Linked DNA regions of Schizosaccharomyces pombe. Each later gene encodes a partner of the first gene's protein in a complex. Each region holds a gene or a part of one and is shown on either strand. Other genes may lie near its edges. The genes, in order: nto1, pdp3, tfg3 and mst2.

Evidence for each region.
Region 2: nto1 (region 1) and pdp3 share a complex: the UniProt entries of both Schizosaccharomyces pombe proteins name them as parts of the mst2 complex.
Region 3: nto1 (region 1) and tfg3 share a complex: the UniProt entries of both Schizosaccharomyces pombe proteins name them as parts of the mst2 complex.
Region 4: nto1 (region 1) and mst2 share a complex: the UniProt entries of both Schizosaccharomyces pombe proteins name them as parts of the mst2 complex.

The regions. Positions count from the first base shown.
Region 1 is NC_003423.3:3,309,912-3,314,477, reverse strand, and holds nto1 (histone acetyltransferase complex subunit Nto1), read left to right. Parts: upstream 1-1,568; 5' UTR 1,569-1,597; coding exon 1,598-3,901; 3' UTR 3,902-4,043; downstream 4,044-4,566. Other genes in the region: tif301 (translation initiation factor eIF3a), read right to left, coding at 1-56, 102-140; carboxymuconolactone decarboxylase-like protein, Pxp2, read left to right, coding at 4,284-4,493. UniProt on the Schizosaccharomyces pombe protein: Component of the mst2 complex which is a highly specific H3 lysine 14 (H3K14) acetyltransferase that functions together with gcn5 to regulate global levels of H3K14 acetylation (H3K14ac), critical for DNA damage checkpoint activation.
Region 2 is NC_003424.3:4,335,147-4,339,007, forward strand, and holds pdp3 (PWWP domain-containing protein), read left to right. Parts: upstream 1-1,934; 5' UTR 1,935-2,101; coding exon 2,102-3,325; downstream 3,326-3,861. Other genes in the region: prp10 (U2 snRNP-associated protein SF3B1), read right to left, coding at 1-1,409, 1,476-1,580, 1,632-1,641; DNA replication factor C complex subunit Rfc2, read left to right, coding at 3,596-3,669, 3,722-3,861. UniProt on the Schizosaccharomyces pombe protein: Component of the mst2 complex which is a highly specific H3 lysine 14 (H3K14) acetyltransferase that functions together with gcn5 to regulate global levels of H3K14 acetylation (H3K14ac), critical for DNA damage checkpoint activation.
Region 3 is NC_003424.3:893,432-897,102, forward strand, and holds tfg3 (TFIID, TFIIF, Ino80, SWI/SNF, and NuA4 complex YEATS family subunit Tfg3), read left to right. Parts: upstream 1-1,567; 5' UTR 1,568-1,934; coding exon 1,935-1,976; exon of another isoform or gene 1,977-2,165; coding exon 2,166-2,334; exon of another isoform or gene 2,335-2,391; coding exon 2,392-2,543; exon of another isoform or gene 2,544-2,607; coding exon 2,608-2,970; 3' UTR 2,971-3,116; downstream 3,117-3,671. Other genes in the region: protein mug35, read right to left, coding at 288-992; SPOM_SPAC22H12.03 (hydrolase), read left to right, coding at 3,446-3,671. UniProt on the Schizosaccharomyces pombe protein: Functions as a component of the DNA-binding general transcription factor complex TFIID, and the RNA polymerase II associated general transcription factor complex TFIIF.
Region 4 is NC_003424.3:2,362,940-2,368,823, reverse strand, and holds mst2 (histone acetyltransferase Mst2), read left to right. Parts: upstream 1-1,889; 5' UTR 1,890-1,990; coding exon 1,991-2,443; exon of another isoform or gene 2,444-2,559; coding exon 2,560-2,649; exon of another isoform or gene 2,650-2,696; coding exon 2,697-3,377; 3' UTR 3,378-3,429; coding exon of another isoform or gene 3,430-5,256; 3' UTR 5,257-5,325; downstream 5,326-5,884. Other genes in the region: protein kinase C (PKC)-like Pck1, read left to right, coding at 1-567, 623-824, 869-1,057, 1,099-1,282, 1,328-1,419; exocyst complex subunit Sec3, read right to left, coding at 3,430-5,256. UniProt on the Schizosaccharomyces pombe protein: Component of the mst2 complex which is a highly specific H3 lysine 14 (H3K14) acetyltransferase that functions together with gcn5 to regulate global levels of H3K14 acetylation (H3K14ac), critical for DNA damage checkpoint activation.

The DNA.
Region 1 (4,566 bases):
TGAAGAGATTGCAGTGCTGAGCTGTGCTGATCTAGAGCTATCAGCTCATCGGCAAGCTAATTTATGTTAGTCAAAGTAAGTAAAAAACTCATAATACATACCCTTAGCACATTTTCGGGCTTTCCTTGAGGAGGTGCCATGTTGTGCAGTTGAAAACTTCCCCCTTGTCGTAGTAAAATTTTATTACACGAATAGCGAGCTACCTCGCAGTTTTATATAAGCCACTAAACAAGAGGTACTTAATTCTTGATTTTGCAAAAAAAAATGTTAGCACATGCATATATATATAGTTAGTTGTTCATATCTTTCTTAGGTTTGACTTGAATAAGCATCACTTTTTGTGCAAAGAAATTAGTGGTTTACCGAATACGATAATATGACTAAATTTGAATAGATCGCCTAGTGTGAAGTGCTAACATACTCGTTAATCTATCATGTTTGTTTAAAAAATACCAGTTCAGTTTAGAACAGAGGAAAGCTCTATTTTTGCTTTTATTTGAACGTTTATGGGATAGTAGTCAGATTTTTCTGTTGCCGCTACTAATTACTATCGTTACACAATGTACATCCAAGAAATATTAGTACCGTTATAGTTTTGGAATTTTAGCCGTAGATCTGTTTCTACGCTAATCACCAAGTCCATTCTTTGTTTGATGTATTTGGTGATAAAACTAGTTAGTTCTTAAAATAATCTTTATTGCCGTTGAGTCGATACTCGCTTGAGTTCCTCATCAGGGCTTATGCATTGTTTTATACTTGTAGCATTGTCTAAACTCTTATTTACAATTGGCAACAAACTTATATAAACGTTGAGACCTTACCAGTGAAAGAAGTGTGGTTTGAGCGAAATATTTTCCGAGCCAATCTAAAATTTAAAGTGTTATCCTTGAAAAGTAGCAGAAACTCGCATTACTTTTACTCAAAGCTTGAATAAAGGAAGAAAGATTTAGCGAATATAGTTTGTCAAAGTATTATAATAAAGAGGTCATAACCCTATGTATTCCGAAAGATTTTTTTGTTAAAAAACGCTAAGTCCTCAATCTCTTCGACGCTAGGTAAACTCTAGAGGCCCATTTTGATGAAGCAATTTAATTGTGATTGGTGTAAATGTTAGACTTCTAGAAGAATAAACTAAGTGAAGTATTCGTTGATGGCGGGTACAAAAATATTAGCTTATAAACTATTCACAAAGATTCTTGAAAGGGCTTTTTATCAAGCATCTCGAAAATCTTTGTACTTTCACATCAACTGTATATAATTGTAACTCTTACATTTCCGTAAAATGCAAAATCACGCTTTCCAATTTCCTCTGGTTTTCTTTGAAAACAACACCAATAAATATAAAAAGAGAAAGAACGGGAAGAATAAATTTACCCCTTCCTATGTCCAAACTATTTTCATTTCAGAGTTCAACTGTTTACAATCATCTTTTTATTTCGGTCATTCACGTTACCCCCGCTTATTCTGCTTAATCATCAGCGGCAGAATGCACTATTGAAGTTTAAGCAAAATTGCACCTTTTTCTCGTAAATATAGTTACACCATGAAAGAAATGTAAAAAAGATAGTATGGTAAATCTATCTTGTAAAAGGCTTTCATGCAAACCTTCCGACTTACTTCTACTGGTCGAAATATTCTAAGACCCGATGAACTTGCTTTTCAGCCGAGAGAAGAGATTCCCTATAAATCTTTCCATCCAGACCTACAAATAGACGAACCTTTGGAAATATTAGAAGGTGACCATACACAATATGCAGGCCTTCGTGATTCTTTAGTAACCTATAAATCCGAGAATTCTTATGTGCTTAAAGCTTTGCTCAATGCCAAGATCGAAAACGTAAAGCCAGTAGGTGTTCAAACGGAAAATATTAATCCACAAGAGAAAAAATTTGGATATAAAACTGCGAAACAATTAGATTGGAGTCCAGACGAATATTTCAAGTTCGTTGCTATACATCCTTACTCAAAAACGTCCTTTCCTGTATCCTACGACTTGGATGAGTTAGACACAATGTGGTTAACATATTATAATGAGTTTCAACTTTCATCTAATTCAGAGTGGGAAAATGTTTCTAAAGAATTTTTAGAAATAGTTCTTACCATTATTGAACGCGAATGGCTTTATCTAGAGGCTTGGATGCCTAAGATTGAACCCGTCAGAGTGGAGGATGAACTAGATGGTCGTTGTGTTATTTGTAATGAAGCAGAATGCGAAAACAGTAATGCTATAGTTTTTTGCGATAACTGTAACACTTCTGTTCACCAGAATTGTTATGGAATCCCTTTTGTTCCAGAGGGTCAATGGTTTTGTAAGAAATGTTTACTAGCCCCTCATGAAGTTATATGCTGTGCTTTTTGTCCTGACAGAGATGGTGCGTTTTGCACAACCTTGGATGGACGTTGGTGCCACACAATTTGCGCCATAGCAATCCCTGAAATATCTTTTCACGACACTAGTAGATTAGACTTGGTTCGAAACATTGCTTCAATCCCAAAGTCTCGCTGGAAATTGGTGTGTTGCATTTGTAAACTTCGATGGGGTACTTGTGTGCAATGCTCAGATAAAAATTGTTATGCAGCTTACCATATAACTTGTGCTCGACGTGCAGGTTTTTTTTACAAAATATACTCACATTCTGCAAGTTATGATAGTGTTGATATGGAAACTTATTGTGATAAACATACTCCACCCGATTATTTAAACGGATTGATGAAGCGCTTGTTTCCGTTAGCTGAATTATATTACAAACGCATGGCTACAGACGTTCCACTCAACTTCCAAGCTACTAAAGCGCCTGATTTTGTGCCCGAAGGGCCATGGAAATCGCATCCATTACCGGCTTTTATTGTTGATAAAGTTACCAAAGTTTTATTGTCTTATAATGTTAAAAGGCAAGATCTGCCCTCCATAGTAACTGACATCTGCAAATTTTATCACATGAAACGCCGATCCCGAAAGGATGCGCCATTGCTTAAATCGCAACTCCTTATGGATAGTCTTGAAAATCTCCCGGTGAGGGCTTCTAAAGATCGCGTTAGGTCTTTAGAAGTAGCGAAGGCTCTACAAGATCAATATCAATCATTGCTTACTCTTGTAGAATCTACTGCTAAACGGCAATTATTAAAATGTCAATTATCAAACTTAAGAAAAAAATTTTTGAATTTAAACTATTTTCCTGCTCAACGGTTATTACAGGATACCCTTGTTAAAATTATAGATCTCGATGTCGATGGTCTTTTCAATATGCCGCTCGATAATGGATGGATTGGGTGGGTTGAATTAAAAAGACAAGTATTCAGTTATCAGATCGGCAGTATTAGCTCTCTAGAAAAGAAACTTGAGCCTATTTGGGATGTTGATGGTGTAATACAGTGTATTGATGATATGGAACAATTAACTGCCATGGTTCAGTTTGCACAAAAAACAGAAGGAGAAGTGAAAAAACTATTTATTAAGGCAAAAATATACTTTGAAAGTTTGAGTCTTGATGAAAGAGGGAATCTCAAAGTACCCTCTCTCGGTATTAACGGACTTGAGTATGATAACTGGCCCGGTTTAAACGAGCTTGAAATGAGTCAACTGGATATTCCTTCACAGGGAAATCTTAAGTCCTTACATGATTTTATTGAGGGTTTAGATTTGAATGAAAAAATAGGGAAATTTCCCATTTCTATGTTCCAAAATCAGGTTGCTCAGTTTTCGACAATTGAAATTCCTAAGATGTCTGGACGTGCTAACGGAATGCATAACTTCCATTCAGAAGATGTTACAGGACAAAGCAATCATGCTTTACCAAACAGTGTAACTAAAAAAAATGGCACCAAGCAACCATATACCAAAAATTCGCTTCCCTTTAATGAACGCATCACAAGATCTAAAGCCAAGAAAAACTATTCATGATACTGAAATTATTGTTAAGTTAGTTCATCGTTGCTTTAGTACCTATGACCAATTATTGATATCGAAACTTTATAATATCTAAAACCGTTAATTGTACATTTTAGTTCCGAATAGTTAATTTATTAATATTTTTCAAAAGCAATTTTTCTTAAATTTTCACGCAGTGAAATAGTCATCAAATACACTCACGCTCGTACCCAACAAAGATATTGCTAGACTAGCTTAGTGTGTAGTCTATTAGTAATCATTCTCGGTTTATATATAATCTGCTGCTCCTTTAAAGCGTTTCTATTTGGTATTTCTACTAAGTTACCGACTGTACTAACATATTACGTTACACACACTATCAGTCGTTGTTACATTATTAATCAAGAGTTAACAAATGACCCATAACACTATGCTTCAAAGATTTAATGGTTTATTAGAGCCTACACATTTGTATATTGTATCTGTTGTAGCTTATTCAGCTTGCAACCGACCGGATAAAATAAGTGGGATAGCTAAGGAAGCAATGGAGCATGTGGGACCAAGTATTTATCCAAAATTAAGAGAAGCATTAGTAAAATCATCTCCATTAGTTGGATTTCCTAGAGTATGATTATAATGATCATGTTTTCTTCGATTTCACTTCAGGTGATGCGAAGATAATAGTATTTTAGCAGCCA
Region 2 (3,861 bases), on another chromosome or scaffold:
AGGTAAAAGAGCCGGCACGCCTAGTGCAGAGGCAACAACCGAAAAGGCACGGGCTGTGGTGTTTCGGACATATTCGTCGACATGATCAATGTCAGGTCTCATTGTAGCAATCATATGAGCCAAGCCGGAAGCTTTAGCTAAGTTACTAATGATTTCCCGACCTTCAGCACGTGCATAGTAATCTTCATCAATAAGAAGGGGTTCAATAACTACGAGAATTTTATGAGTAAAAGGGCGAACCAGATCATCCAATTTGTATAATATACGATCAATAACCTTAACTAAAAGATGGCGCTCCTGATCTTCCAGTGTTCGTTCCATTAACAACGGAAGAATCTGATTAAATAAAGCAGCTGCACCAAAGTCGCGAGCTTGATCCGTAAGCTGGCGTAATGCACTCTTACGCATGGGAGGAGTACCATTTTTTACTTTCAGAAGTAATCTCAAAATTTTACGTTCACGAAGTTCCGCAATTGTAAGCTTGGCCTCGTCCTCCACCTTGAGTAACTTGCCAAAATATTTAACATCTTCTTGCTTAAAAAAAGCTAAATCACCTACACCGGGTATTTCTGTAGGCAATGCAGCTGGTAATTCTTTTTCTAAAGGAAGCTCTTGCTCTTGTGGAACGTGATATGTATCGAGCGTAGTACCTTTTTGAAGTAGTTCAGGATGAATTGATTCTAAATATCCAGGAGGAGGCTCCAAAATAGCATAGCCTTCTGACGGCAAAAGCTCATTTAACTCTTCTTCAGTTAATAAACGGACAGGAGGTCGTAATTTTTCTTCTACTACATTTACTTCCTTATTAATAAGATCTTCAGAAATTCCGTTTTCTATAACATGTTCAGATATAGTGAAGTTTTCAGGAGCTTTGTCCCAACGTGATCTACGCTTAGTAGTGGAAACCTGCGTAACGCTAGGTGGAGCCTGATCCCAACGAGAGCGTTTAGGCTTCTGAGATATTTCCGTATTATTAAGCTCTAGTTCTCTTTTTTTGTCCGATATGCTTTCCTCCTCCTCCACCTCTTTTAGTGTTCCTTCACGACGTCTTTGATTTAATTCCATATGAACTCGTCGCTCTTCCTTTTCTAATTCAACCTGCCGCATAACCTCCGCATAAGATCTTCCATTGCTCTGTGTCCCATCAGGTTGAAAAGCATCTACGCGGGTTGGAGTAAGCTGTCTATCATAACGCTGCTTTTGATAATCTGACTCGCGATCCTGAATTTGCTTTTTTGACTGTCTCTCTTGCATAGGGTCATAACTTTCATCAGCGTATTCATTTAGTAGTTCCTTAGGTGCTTCATATTGACGCACTAAACGATAACTATCATTAACATCGTTTGTACGTTTATAATCGTCTTCATCCTGAGAGATATCATTGCGCACGTCAATTGCGGAGTCATATTCTTCTTTTGGGTTACTGGACTTAAAAAGATGAGCATTATATTGTAAATCATTAGAATCCTGGGTACCTTCAATATTTACACTTCCATTTGTCGACGAATTCTTCGCTGCCTCTTTTTGTCTTCGCAAAAGTTCTCTTTCAGCACGAAGCCTTTCTATTTCCACATCTTCTACTTTATTTAGGTTAGTAACATCCATTTTGAACATTTTATAAGGATACGTACCAGTTGACATGTTGATGGCGAAGAAATGCTTTCATGTTGCGCGTCTTATACTCATTTAAATATACTCAAAGCATTCTAAGCTTCGTTATCAATATTTTAAAGTACAATACAGTAACTCGTTTTGTAGAATAACGATAAGATTAACGTGTCTTATTTAGTTTAACCCTCTTTATTAAGATTTATTTGCGAAAGAAATATATACTATCGAAAAAATTAGTATGAGGAATGATATTGAAATATCGAGGTATCATATTGCAACAGCTCAAGCTTTTAGCACCCCCCCCCTCTGCTATTGTAGATCTTGTAAGCGTTGCTGCAATTAATTGATAATAGACAAGCGTCTTACGGTTTCTACTTGTATATCCTAATATTTGGTGGAACCTTTACAAATTGATGTAAAATCTCTTTGGAAAAATTCAGCACTATATCGCTTTAATGTGAAGTTTGGCTTATAAGGAATGTAATTAACGATGATGGTTGCTAGGACACGCAGTCAAAAAAGAAAGCTTGAAGAGATTAATAACCAGAAGAAGATTAAAACAAAAAAAAAGGCCACCGGGCAACAGACTTCTAATACGAAAAATCTGCGTGATGTTAAAAAGAAAGGTAAACAATTAGCGTATGTTCCGAGGACGTCACCAAGGAAATCATATAAAAATGGGGAATATGTTTTAGCAAAGATGAGTAGCTTCCCATGGTGGCCAGCCAGAGTAGCGAGCCAAAAATCAATACCCACTGAGGTACGCGAACGATTGAAACGAAATTTTCGAATGGACAATGGAATATTTGTTCAGTTTCTTCCTTCAAGAGATTACGCTATTATTTCTTCTTCAAATGTTTTGCCCTTAACTGTTGATGAATCAAGGTTTATTTTGGACCATGATTTATCGACAAAGTATATCCAAAAGACGGTAGGTCTCATCATTGCTTCCGTAAAGAGAAAAGTTTCTTTTTCTGATGTCGAAGAGGATGAGTTTGAACCAGAGAATACTCGTAAAAAACTTCAAAAGCCCATCGAGAAACCAAAAAAGGAAAAGATAGAAGCCACACCTAAAATTGACGGGGGTAAAAGGTTAAAAAATGAGAAATCGTCGGCAGAAATTTCTCAAACATCGAAGCAACGACCTTCACGTAGGTCAGCTCGAGTTAGGATGGCTACAGACAACGCTCAGAAATCCCCATCTCCAATTCCTTCTCCCAAGAAAACAGCCAAAAAAAGAGTAAGGTTTGCCGGTTCTTTAGAGGAATTACCAAAATTTTCACTTGAATATCAATTGGCTCAGCCTATAAGTACTGTAGATATGTATGCTCAAGTTCATTATATTCGATTTAATACTCTTTTATATTACCGCTACCAACTACAAGAAATCCTACTGTCATATAATCATTATCCTCAAGAATCGGATATGTCTCATGTGCACCAAATATTGGAGATGATTGAGAATTTCAGCGCAATAAATTCTGAACTATTAGAATCAACCAAGTTGTATTCACTTTTTACTTTGCTTGTTAAATTAAGCGACATACCGTTGGATGAAAAATATGACTTTTCTTCACGATTTTCGACTCTTCTCCTTCAATTCCAAGCATTCGTTCAGCCCAAAACCATGACAAGTAATGTATCTACAGCGCCCATTGGAAAGAATGCTCAAGTGAACACAGAAGCTGCCAGACCATCTGTCATCACTACCTAACTTTTGATCATACATTCATATGCTTTTGTTATCGAATTACATAACTAATCTTGTTTACATTTAATGTTACGATAATATTTGCTTCCAACATTTTCATTAATATAGAACGCATTATTAGCGCGACTCAATGTGTTTATGGTACAAATCGTTACAATACGTTATCCTAGTATGTAAGCAAGAACAAGCATTGCTTACTACCATTTCGTAGTAGGTACCGTCAGTGTTTTTTTTTTTTACTTGCGATATCTCGTGTATACTAATTTAAAAAAAATGTCTTTCTTTGCTCCAAGGAATAAGAAAACGGAGCAGGAAGCAAAGAAATCAATACCTTGGGTTGAGCTTTAGTATGTAAATAGAGAATACTTTTTAAGAACAATAACATTAACACGTATGTAGTCGTCCCAAGACATTGGACCAAGTTTCCTCTCAAGAATCTACTGTACAAGTATTAAAAAAAACACTTTTATCTAATAACTTACCTCACATGTTGTTTTATGGCTCTCCTGGTACTGGAAAGACGTCAACCATTCTAGCTT
Region 3 (3,671 bases), on another chromosome or scaffold:
TTGGAAATCCGCTAGAAAGTGAAGAAGAATGTATACATAAAAGGTGTAATTAGGTTCAATTCCCAATTTACATCTAAATAAATAATGCTGATACTAGGAACGTTCTTTATCATAAAATGAAATGTGTTTCAACAAATACCTAATTAAGCATTTATCGTTTTAATCATCTTTTTTTAATTTACAAATATTTTATAAAAATAAAAAAAGTGTTTAGATATTTCTTGGGTAAAAGACACTAAACGGTTGCTAAACATTTGTGTCGATTGAATATGAATGATATAATATCGTTAAAAATGCGTTGGAATCACTTGGTTTGAATGTTGGAAATTAGATTCCAAACCCATGCGAATGAAGCGTAGAAATTCATCGACACTCATGCCATTTCTGGAGCAGATTTTCCAAAGACTAGCAGTTTGTTCCATTACTAGCTCATCCAAACCAAGACGATCATATTTCTTCGATCGATGCTTAGGTTCTTGGACAAGGTTTCTAGATTCTTCTACATCTTGATTGGAAGGTTGGTCAAGATCATAACGATCCCAGTAAGGCTTTTCGCTGTGTGAAACAGGAGAAACATCCCGCTCCTTGTCAGTGGATGTTAAGTCACCACTAGAATCGCGTCTCAACAATTGTTTTTGGGTTTTATCATAGAGGCCCATAAGTTTCAGAGAATGATCCTTTTGGTAAAAAAATACCTCAAATTCATACTTCCCTGCTTCAAATAAATACGATATCACATGGTCTTCAGGTGTCCCGCGACCAACAAACTTGGCAGAACGAGGGTCAAAGCTTTGCAAAAATTTCCATAACTCTTCTGACTCCTCTTTGCTGAGGTCCTTATTTATAACTAATCCTTCCCACCATCGATCCGTGGGTGCTAAAAACTTGACTCTCAACTGCAAGATAGGGGTAACAACACCATCTAGTTGTTTGGGATTTTTCAAAGGGAATATGCCTAAGCATGCTAATTCATCATGTCTTTCGTTAGTCATGTTTCACTGTGTACTAAAGTGAAATTAAATCAAAGCTTAAGCTGCCGGGTGTAATTGACAATGTGAACAACGCATATGCTACCACTCCATTTATATACGTAACTGACACGGCTTCTGGATAACGAGGATCGATTACTGACACAATCAATTTTTTAAAATATTAAACAACTTTCACTATTCTCGTATTAGCAACAAAGTTCTTTTGCTGCGGTATTTTTTGTTATTCTCAAATGTTCTAAAGAAGTTGCCAGATTAATCCATCGCTGGAAAAGAATCCAATAGTTCAAAGTTCTTTCAGCTAAAGCCTAGATCCAATTTATGAATAAGCTAACTTGGGAATCGGGATAAACTCTTACCTCTGCATAAAAATAATATACCCAATGCCTTATATTAACATGGTGCTCGAGGGTTTGTTTACTATATAGTTCGAGTAAAATTCATCGCATCCAAAAGTTTCGTTATTATGCTTTAAAATTAAACTGACTGTGCATTAAAGTTTTTAGTATATTACACTGCAGTACCATACCTTCACTGTCAGTTTGTAAGTCTACTTGTACTTTCCAGGAATTTGGGCCGTGACGAACCCAAAAGTCATATTCCACTATTCAAACGTTTTATAGTCTCACAGTTTTAGCAGTTACTTCCCTGTAATCTGCTAATAAATTTTAACAAAAGAGATATTTGTTATTAAACCAAAGTCATTTGCTTTATCCTTGAGTTAACCGACTTTTAGAAGTCCTTAAAAGTAGTAGTGCTCAATATTTCTGAACACAAATTACTGGTGCTTCTATTTCAATTCGTACATTGGCAAGATTTTTTATCTTTTCAATTTTAAGAATACCGCAAAAGTTATAGAATCGTTAGCCCGATATCTCTTCTCACGACTCGCTAAGCGTCTTCTATCCATATATTTTTCGTCCTCATATACATTGATTTAAGAATATGACAACTGTGAAAAGAACTGTGAGATTAATTACTGATCAGGTATGAAAGCCATCTGATTCATTTGCTACGACCGAGGCGCGTTATTTGACCCAATGGTCAAGGTTAGGTGCAATTACAAAAAACTTTGGCATTATACAGGATGCTCGTACAATTGAATTTAGAAGAACAATAAAAAACAAAACTTTTTCTTGCAAGTATCTTGATGAACTTTGAACTTACAATATTTAGAATGTGTTGCCGGGAGGTGAAGCAGCTGTGTTGAACGATCAAAGCTTCCCTGTGAGGGAATGGTCTATAAAATTGGTCTGCTTAAATCCTCAGGGAGAAGAAACTGACGCTTCCTTTGTTGATCGTGTCACCTATAAGCTACATCCAACATTTCAAAATCCTACACGCAGTATGTATTATGTGATGAAAGGAAGATTAGCAGAATAACGTTAACTAATTTTTTTAGCTATCAGAAAACCTCCTTTCCAAATAAAAGAGCAAGGATGGGGTGAGTTTGAAATGGAGATCATAATATACTATGCGGACAAAGGTGGTGAACATCGGTTCCTTCACTATTTACATTTTCAGCAGGAGCATTATCATGAGGATATCGAATTGGTATGTGTTTTAAGTATTTTAACATTTACTAGACTCTGATTTTATGGTGCTAACTGAGTCTTAGAATATCAATGCTACTAGGCCAGGTTTATTAAAGGCACTGACAGCCACTGGAGAAGTACCTGGCTACAGTGATGAAGGTGAAGAAGCTCGTAAGGATAAAAGAAAAAACGAATCAGAAGTTGGTGCTGGGAAGAAAAAGGCGAAAGCTAAACCTGTTGACATGGATAAACTTGCAGAGGGTTTGCAAAAACTTCAGGAGGATGACTTGTTACAAGTTGTGCAGATGGTGAATGAGAACAAAACACCAGACATGTATGTCCGAAACGACATTGAAGGGGGTGAATTCCATATTGACTTATATACTCTGCCGGACAATCTTCTGCTCTTATTATACAGTTTCTGTGCTAAACGCGTCACTATGTAATTAAGAGCATTGCAGTTTTGTGCAGCCTACTTTAAGGGAGAAGCGTTAGTTTCCCCATTCTACTTTTTTCCTGAAGACTGCTTAATGAGTTCTTGTATCATAATTTAAATAAGAAATTTCATTCCTTTTCACTATTTTTTGAGTTTAACTTGCGCTTAAACAGCGATACAAACATTTGTATTTTGGTACTATGGTGTAGCTTTTGTCTCGAAAAAGAATATTTGGTTAGATTAATATAATTATTTTTGTTTTTACTTACATAATATTTTAAAACCGACCTTTTTAGCTTTCATAATCAGCAATTCAGATTATGATCACACTGCCGATAAGTAGTTATTTATCATTCCTTGGATTAGGCTCACTTTGCTATTCGCAAACGTTTCCTGCAACTACAACTTCATGACAGATTAAATTATAATTATTTTATATCGACCTTATAGTGTTTATTTATTACTGCACAAGAAATTATAGAGTTATGTCTCTAAAACCAGTTAAATTAGCCTTTGAGAAGTATTCTGCCACAGTTGCTAAACACCCCCCAGTTTTGATCTTCCACGGACTATTGGGATCTAAGCGTAATTGGAGAAGTTTGGCAAAAAAGTTTTCCTGCAAACTTGACCGGGATATTTACGCTATTGATCAGAGGTGTCATGGAGATTCTCCCTGTGTAGCTCCTCTCAGCTATTCCGCCATGGCTTTGG
Region 4 (5,884 bases), on another chromosome or scaffold:
TGATACATTACCAACGATATCTCAGGGCTTACTTGCTGCTACTCAGCCAGTTACAAGTGTACTTAATACGTCTCCACTTCCAAAAACCCCTGAGAAAGATCGATCTTTAAATGTTACTCCTTCCTCTTCTACTCCTACTCCAGCTTCTGTTCTTGCTCCACCTTCCAGTGCTAGCTTATCGTCTTCCAAGGATGCTAATAGAAGTGTTCCAGAAAGTCCACGCAGAGAGAAAAAGAATCGTGTTACGCTTGACGACTTCACATTTTTGGCTGTATTAGGGAAAGGCAATTTTGGCAAGGTTATGTTGGCTGAATATAAAGTGAATAAAAAGTTTTATGCCATCAAAGTTCTGAAAAAAGAAGCCATTTTAAAGAATGAGGAACTAGAGAGTTTAAAAACTGAAAAGCATGTTTTCGAAGTCGCGAATAAAGAAAAACATCCGTTCTTGCTGAATCTTTTTGCAAGCTTTCAAACTAGTACCAGGGTTTACTTCGTTATGGAATATATTCTTGGTGGTGACCTTATGGTTCATATTCAACGTCAACAGTTTAGCGTGAAACGTGCAAGGTAGTACTTCAATCTTTATTTTTATTTTTATTTTTATTTTTTATTAACCCCATAGATTTTATGGTGCTGAGGTTTGTTTAGCATTGAAGTATTTTCATGAGAATGGAATTGCTTACCGTGATTTGAAATTGGATAATATTCTACTTTGTCCTGATGGTCATATACGAATTGCTGATTATGGACTCTGCAAAGAAAATATGTTGCTTGGCAATACAACTTCCACCTTTTGTGGTACCCCCGAATTCATGGCTCCAGAAGTAAGGCGGAACTTGTTTTGGTTTATTTTATCTAACGAAAATAGATTTTATTAGAACAGCAATATTCCAAGGATGTTGATTGGTGGGCTTTTGGCGTTTTGATGTATCAAATGTTACTGGGTCAATCCCCTTTCAAAGGTGAAGATGAAGAGGAAATATTCGATGCGATTTTAAGCGATGAACCGTTGTTTCCGATTAATATGCCAGCGGATGCGGTTTCGTTATTGAGAGGGGTATGCAAATTTCTAAATATGTTAACTAATTCAAAAAATAGCTTTTAACAAGAGATCCAAATCAACGACTTGGTAGTGGACCAAAAGACGCAAACGAGGTTATGGCTCATCCTTTCTTTGCTAGTATTGTCTGGGATGACTTGTATAACAAACTTTATGAACCATCATATAAACCGCTTATCAACGATCCCCGAGACCTCAATAATTTTGATGAAGAATTTACAAGTATGACAATTGTTAAAATATGGTTAATTACTAACGATCGATTAGGTGCATGTCCAACTTTGACACCTGTCAATACTGTTCTCACACGACAACAACAAGAGTGTTTCAGAGGATTTTCCAGTTTTGCTACTGAATAGAATTAGCTTGTCCTTTGCTTCTGCTTTTTTAAAATTAGAAAATTATGGTAACAATTTCATATAGTTCTGATGCTGCTTCCTTTGCATTCTTACACTTAATTTAGTGTACTCACCCTTTACATGATATTTTTTTTACTTTTCTACGTGTTCATATTTAAAAAATTTCTGCATTTATCATCATTACATTACTTGAAAATAAAGTCGAAATTAGAGAATAATTAAAGTGGCATTAAAACTACTAATGTAAAACTTATCGTTGAATCACCCAAGGTGACTTTGTAGTATTTATACGCAACGTTTGTAATGGCATTCAATCAAAAAGCTAACAGTGAAGTTATGAATGGTTACTGTTTCAGAATACAAAAGTAAAAAATATGAGTAGTTTTTTATTTAACAAGAGTGAAAGGGTTATCTTTGCAGAGATCGGATGGAGGTGGAAGTAAAGCAAGAACTAAGAAGAGAATGAGGGCACTACCACCAACTCAATTATATTGACCAAAGGATTAAATGGGGCCATTAGGAAAACTATGAACGATCTGTAAATATAAACAATCTTTTTTTTTTATGTATAATGCCGGCGACTATTTTGAAATCCACAGCCAGTTCAAAGACTTTGTTAATAATAAAGTTTGATACAAACTCCTCCAGATATCCATTTTATAAGAAACATTTATTAGAGTTAAATTCGGAAAGTACTTTTTTGGGTCTATTAACTAAAGGGCAAGCTGACACATCGATTACGAGACTCAACCAAGACGATGTGAGGCTGTTTGAAAAAGCAAAGACAGTAGCAGATAGGACAAAGGATGTGGCTTATTCATTTTCCGATCCTATTTTATCTACACAGTTGCGAACGCCTCCACCACAACCAACCTCCATTCGATACCTCTATTTTGGTACTTACCGGATAAAACCATGGTATACATCACCGTATCCAGAGGAGTATAGCTGTGCAAAAAATTTATATATATGCGAATCTTGTTTAAAGTATATGAACAGTGATCATGTACTACAAAGGCACAAGGTAAACAACTTTTCAAGTAAGATCATAATGTTATTCGCTATTGCTTGAGTTTAAACGAGGTGTACATTAAAAGATCATAATCTATCCAAATTGAATTTACGGACTAACATAATCAGATGAAATGCTCATGGAGTTATCCACCAGGAGATGAAATATATCGGGATAAGAATATATCAATTTTTGAAGTTGATGGTCAACGGCAACCGGTAAGTAATTTTTTATGCATTTTATACTTATTGATGTTTTTCCTTAGATATATTGTCAAAATTTATGTCTTCTAGCAAAGATGTTTCTTCATTCAAAAATGCTGTACTATGACGTTGAACCGTTTCTTTTCTATGTATTGACTGAATTTGATGGCCAAGAATGCAAAGTTATTGGATATTTCAGTAAAGAGAAACGCTCGGCTTCTGATTATAACGTTTCCTGTATATTAACATTACCCATTTACCAACGCCGAGGATATGGTGTCTTTTTGATTGATTTTAGTTATTTACTTACACAGGTAGAAGGTAAGCTTGGATCACCTGAAAAGCCACTTTCAGATTTAGGCCTCGTTACGTACCGAAGCTATTGGAAAATGAGAGTAGCCAAAGCTCTATTGGAAATCACAACACCGATTAGCATAAATGCTATCGCCAAATCAACATCTATGGTATGCGACGATGTTATATCCACATTGGAATCGTTATCTGTATTTAAGTATGATCCGCTCAAAAAGAAATATGTATTACAACTGAAACGGGATGAACTTGAGAATGTTTATAAAGCTTGGAATATCAAACACCCTCAAAGAGTAAATCCAAAACTTCTAAGATGGACGCCATATCTCGGAGAAGAGCAGATATCTAACCTTTTACTTAAAGAAAATATACTTATTCCTCTACCTCAAAAGCGTCTATTAGATAACTCTCATCATCTGGATTCCGTTTAGTTCAAATAAATAAGTATTTTAATCTTTCGATATTTGTCGTGAAGCATTTGTATCATCTACGGCTTGGTTGTTGCTCTATATTAATGACGCCATTTAATGCAGTAGACAACTCTAGGGAAAATAAGTTGATGGTTGAATTGATAGACTCACAACCTAAAGCACAATCTTGAAGTTGGCTCTTAATGTTTTGCAATTCGATTTCTTCTTCAGCAAGGTTTTCCACACTGCTTATGATAGCTCCATCAAACGAAAATTCTGTTTGTTTCAATACATCTTTTATAGTTGTACCTTCATTCCACTTCAAAGTGGAAAGACGAGAAATGCTTTGCTCCGGAATGTTTTTGAGGTTGATTTTTGAGTTAAGATCGTAAACTTTTTCAACAGAAGCTTGGTGCGGTTTAGTCGGAATGGAAGTAACAAGAGTTTTCTTGGCTTTTGGCTTGGAAGTGGTTTTTCTATTTTCAAAGCGCAAACTTTCAAAAAGGGGAAGAAGTTCATTTCCTATAGAAGGCTCGTCGTTTGGTGGTTCGATTTGTTTACCAGTCGAAGGAGTTGCCCGAACAGTTGGCTGACGGGACGGGTGCTTTGGAGGTAATTTAGGAATAGCCGGTGCTCCTGTTGGTTTTCGAGAAACAGACTTTGCTGATACTTTAGACGAACTGGAAGGCTTGTAAGATGACGTTAATACTGAAGGAGTTTCTAAGCTAGAAGATAAAGCTGCCTGGGTAGCATCACGATCCACTTTACTAAAATCGCTAGCAAATGTGTTTGACTCCAAAGAAGAGCTTAGTTTCACGTCTTTTTGAGACATATTATACTTACCAGCTTCTAGTGCCAAAGCTGTATTTTTCTCGTAAGAACCACTGATGCTATTCTTACCCCTTTCCGAAGAACTCGTTCCACTGTTAAATGAGGGTGCTTGTTCACGACGAGTAGTTTTACGTAAAGAAGGTTTAGATGGAAACAATTGAGCTTGTTCTTGAATAAACATTTCCCGTGTTTGATTATCTCGTCTTTGAGTTGAAGTATCGAATAAGACATCATCTTTTCGGTCTCCTGAAGTCCTTGCAATGGCAGAAGAACTTGAAATTTCTATAACATCACTATGGGCAGATGATGGGGTCCCCCGGGAAACGTTGGAAGAAGGCTTATTGTCAGAAAACCGTCTTTCTTTTTCAACACTCAACTTCTTTTTGGCTGATCGAGAAGAATCAATAGTGAGCTTCTTCTCGATGCGAGGCTGATCCGTTTCTAAATTGGTAACAATTGGGCCGTCCGAAAAATTACGGTTATGTGCGACTCGAGAGTTAAAAGATGAGGAAACTTGTTCTGAAGAATTTTCAGGTAATGATGACCTTGCTTTAGGAATAGCTAGGCTCTTTGCAGGATAGAGATTAGGTTTGTTATCAGCAAAGGAATTACGATAGGCCCAGTCCACTTTGCGGCCATCAGTCGTAGTCACTGAAAGCGGCCTGCCCATATAGTACATATAATTTTTAGCAACAGAAAAAACAAATCGATCGCGAGCAGAAGTGTCCTGAGTTCGCAACAAATGTGGCTTGTTTATTGTCATAGTAACATCATGATCATTAATTACAGTAATATTCTGCAACTCAAATAAAGGCCAGGATTTCACGACTGTCATTCCGCCTTTATCATTTACTTTCAATCTGTGTATATAAAAAATACGAGTCACATCATCACAAGTCAAAGCAATGTAGCGGGGTTTCATCTTTGAGCCAACAACATTAACTCCTCTTTCTTCCTCCACCGGAAGATATGCTAATGATTGCTCATGAGCTTTCCGTTTATCGGTAGTTTGAGCCGAATTGACAGCTTGTAGAATTTCTTGTTCAACGGCATTAGGGTTAGAAGCCATTCGTCTGAAGTGGTGTATTAAATGAAAAAAATTGGGTTAAATAGATAAATATTAACAAAAAAAAAACCATTAATTAAACATTCTACCACTTTCCAATGGCAAGTAATACTGAAAGCGCCTTATTCAACGGAAAAACAAATTTTCTAAGGAAACGAGACTTTTTTTTAATTCACAGAGTCTTTATAAGCAAGGGATAAAATTTTCTTGTAAAATTGAATTCTAGCGGTAAAGAAATATATAAATTTGATAATAATTTTTACAATTGTGGTGGAATGGTGGGTTAATAAGGAGAAATGTCAAAACGTAAACAAGTGACATATGTAGGCAAATGCTATAGAAGTCGATTTTTTAAAGTTTATTTAAACTTGCAAGCATTGTCTACGTTCATAATATTTATATATATTTAAACATCTTTAAATATTTTTGCTGTGCATGAAAAGTACAATAATCCATAACTTTTTTGTTGATGACTTCGCTGTACTTTATGGCAGCTTTGTTTATTCGACGAGCTTAAAAAATCCAAATTATTGAAACAGGAAACACATTGATAGCCATAGTGTAATTCTAATTGCATAACCAGCAACGTTTAAAATGGTTAGCTATAGTTAAGTATTAGTACTACGCAGGA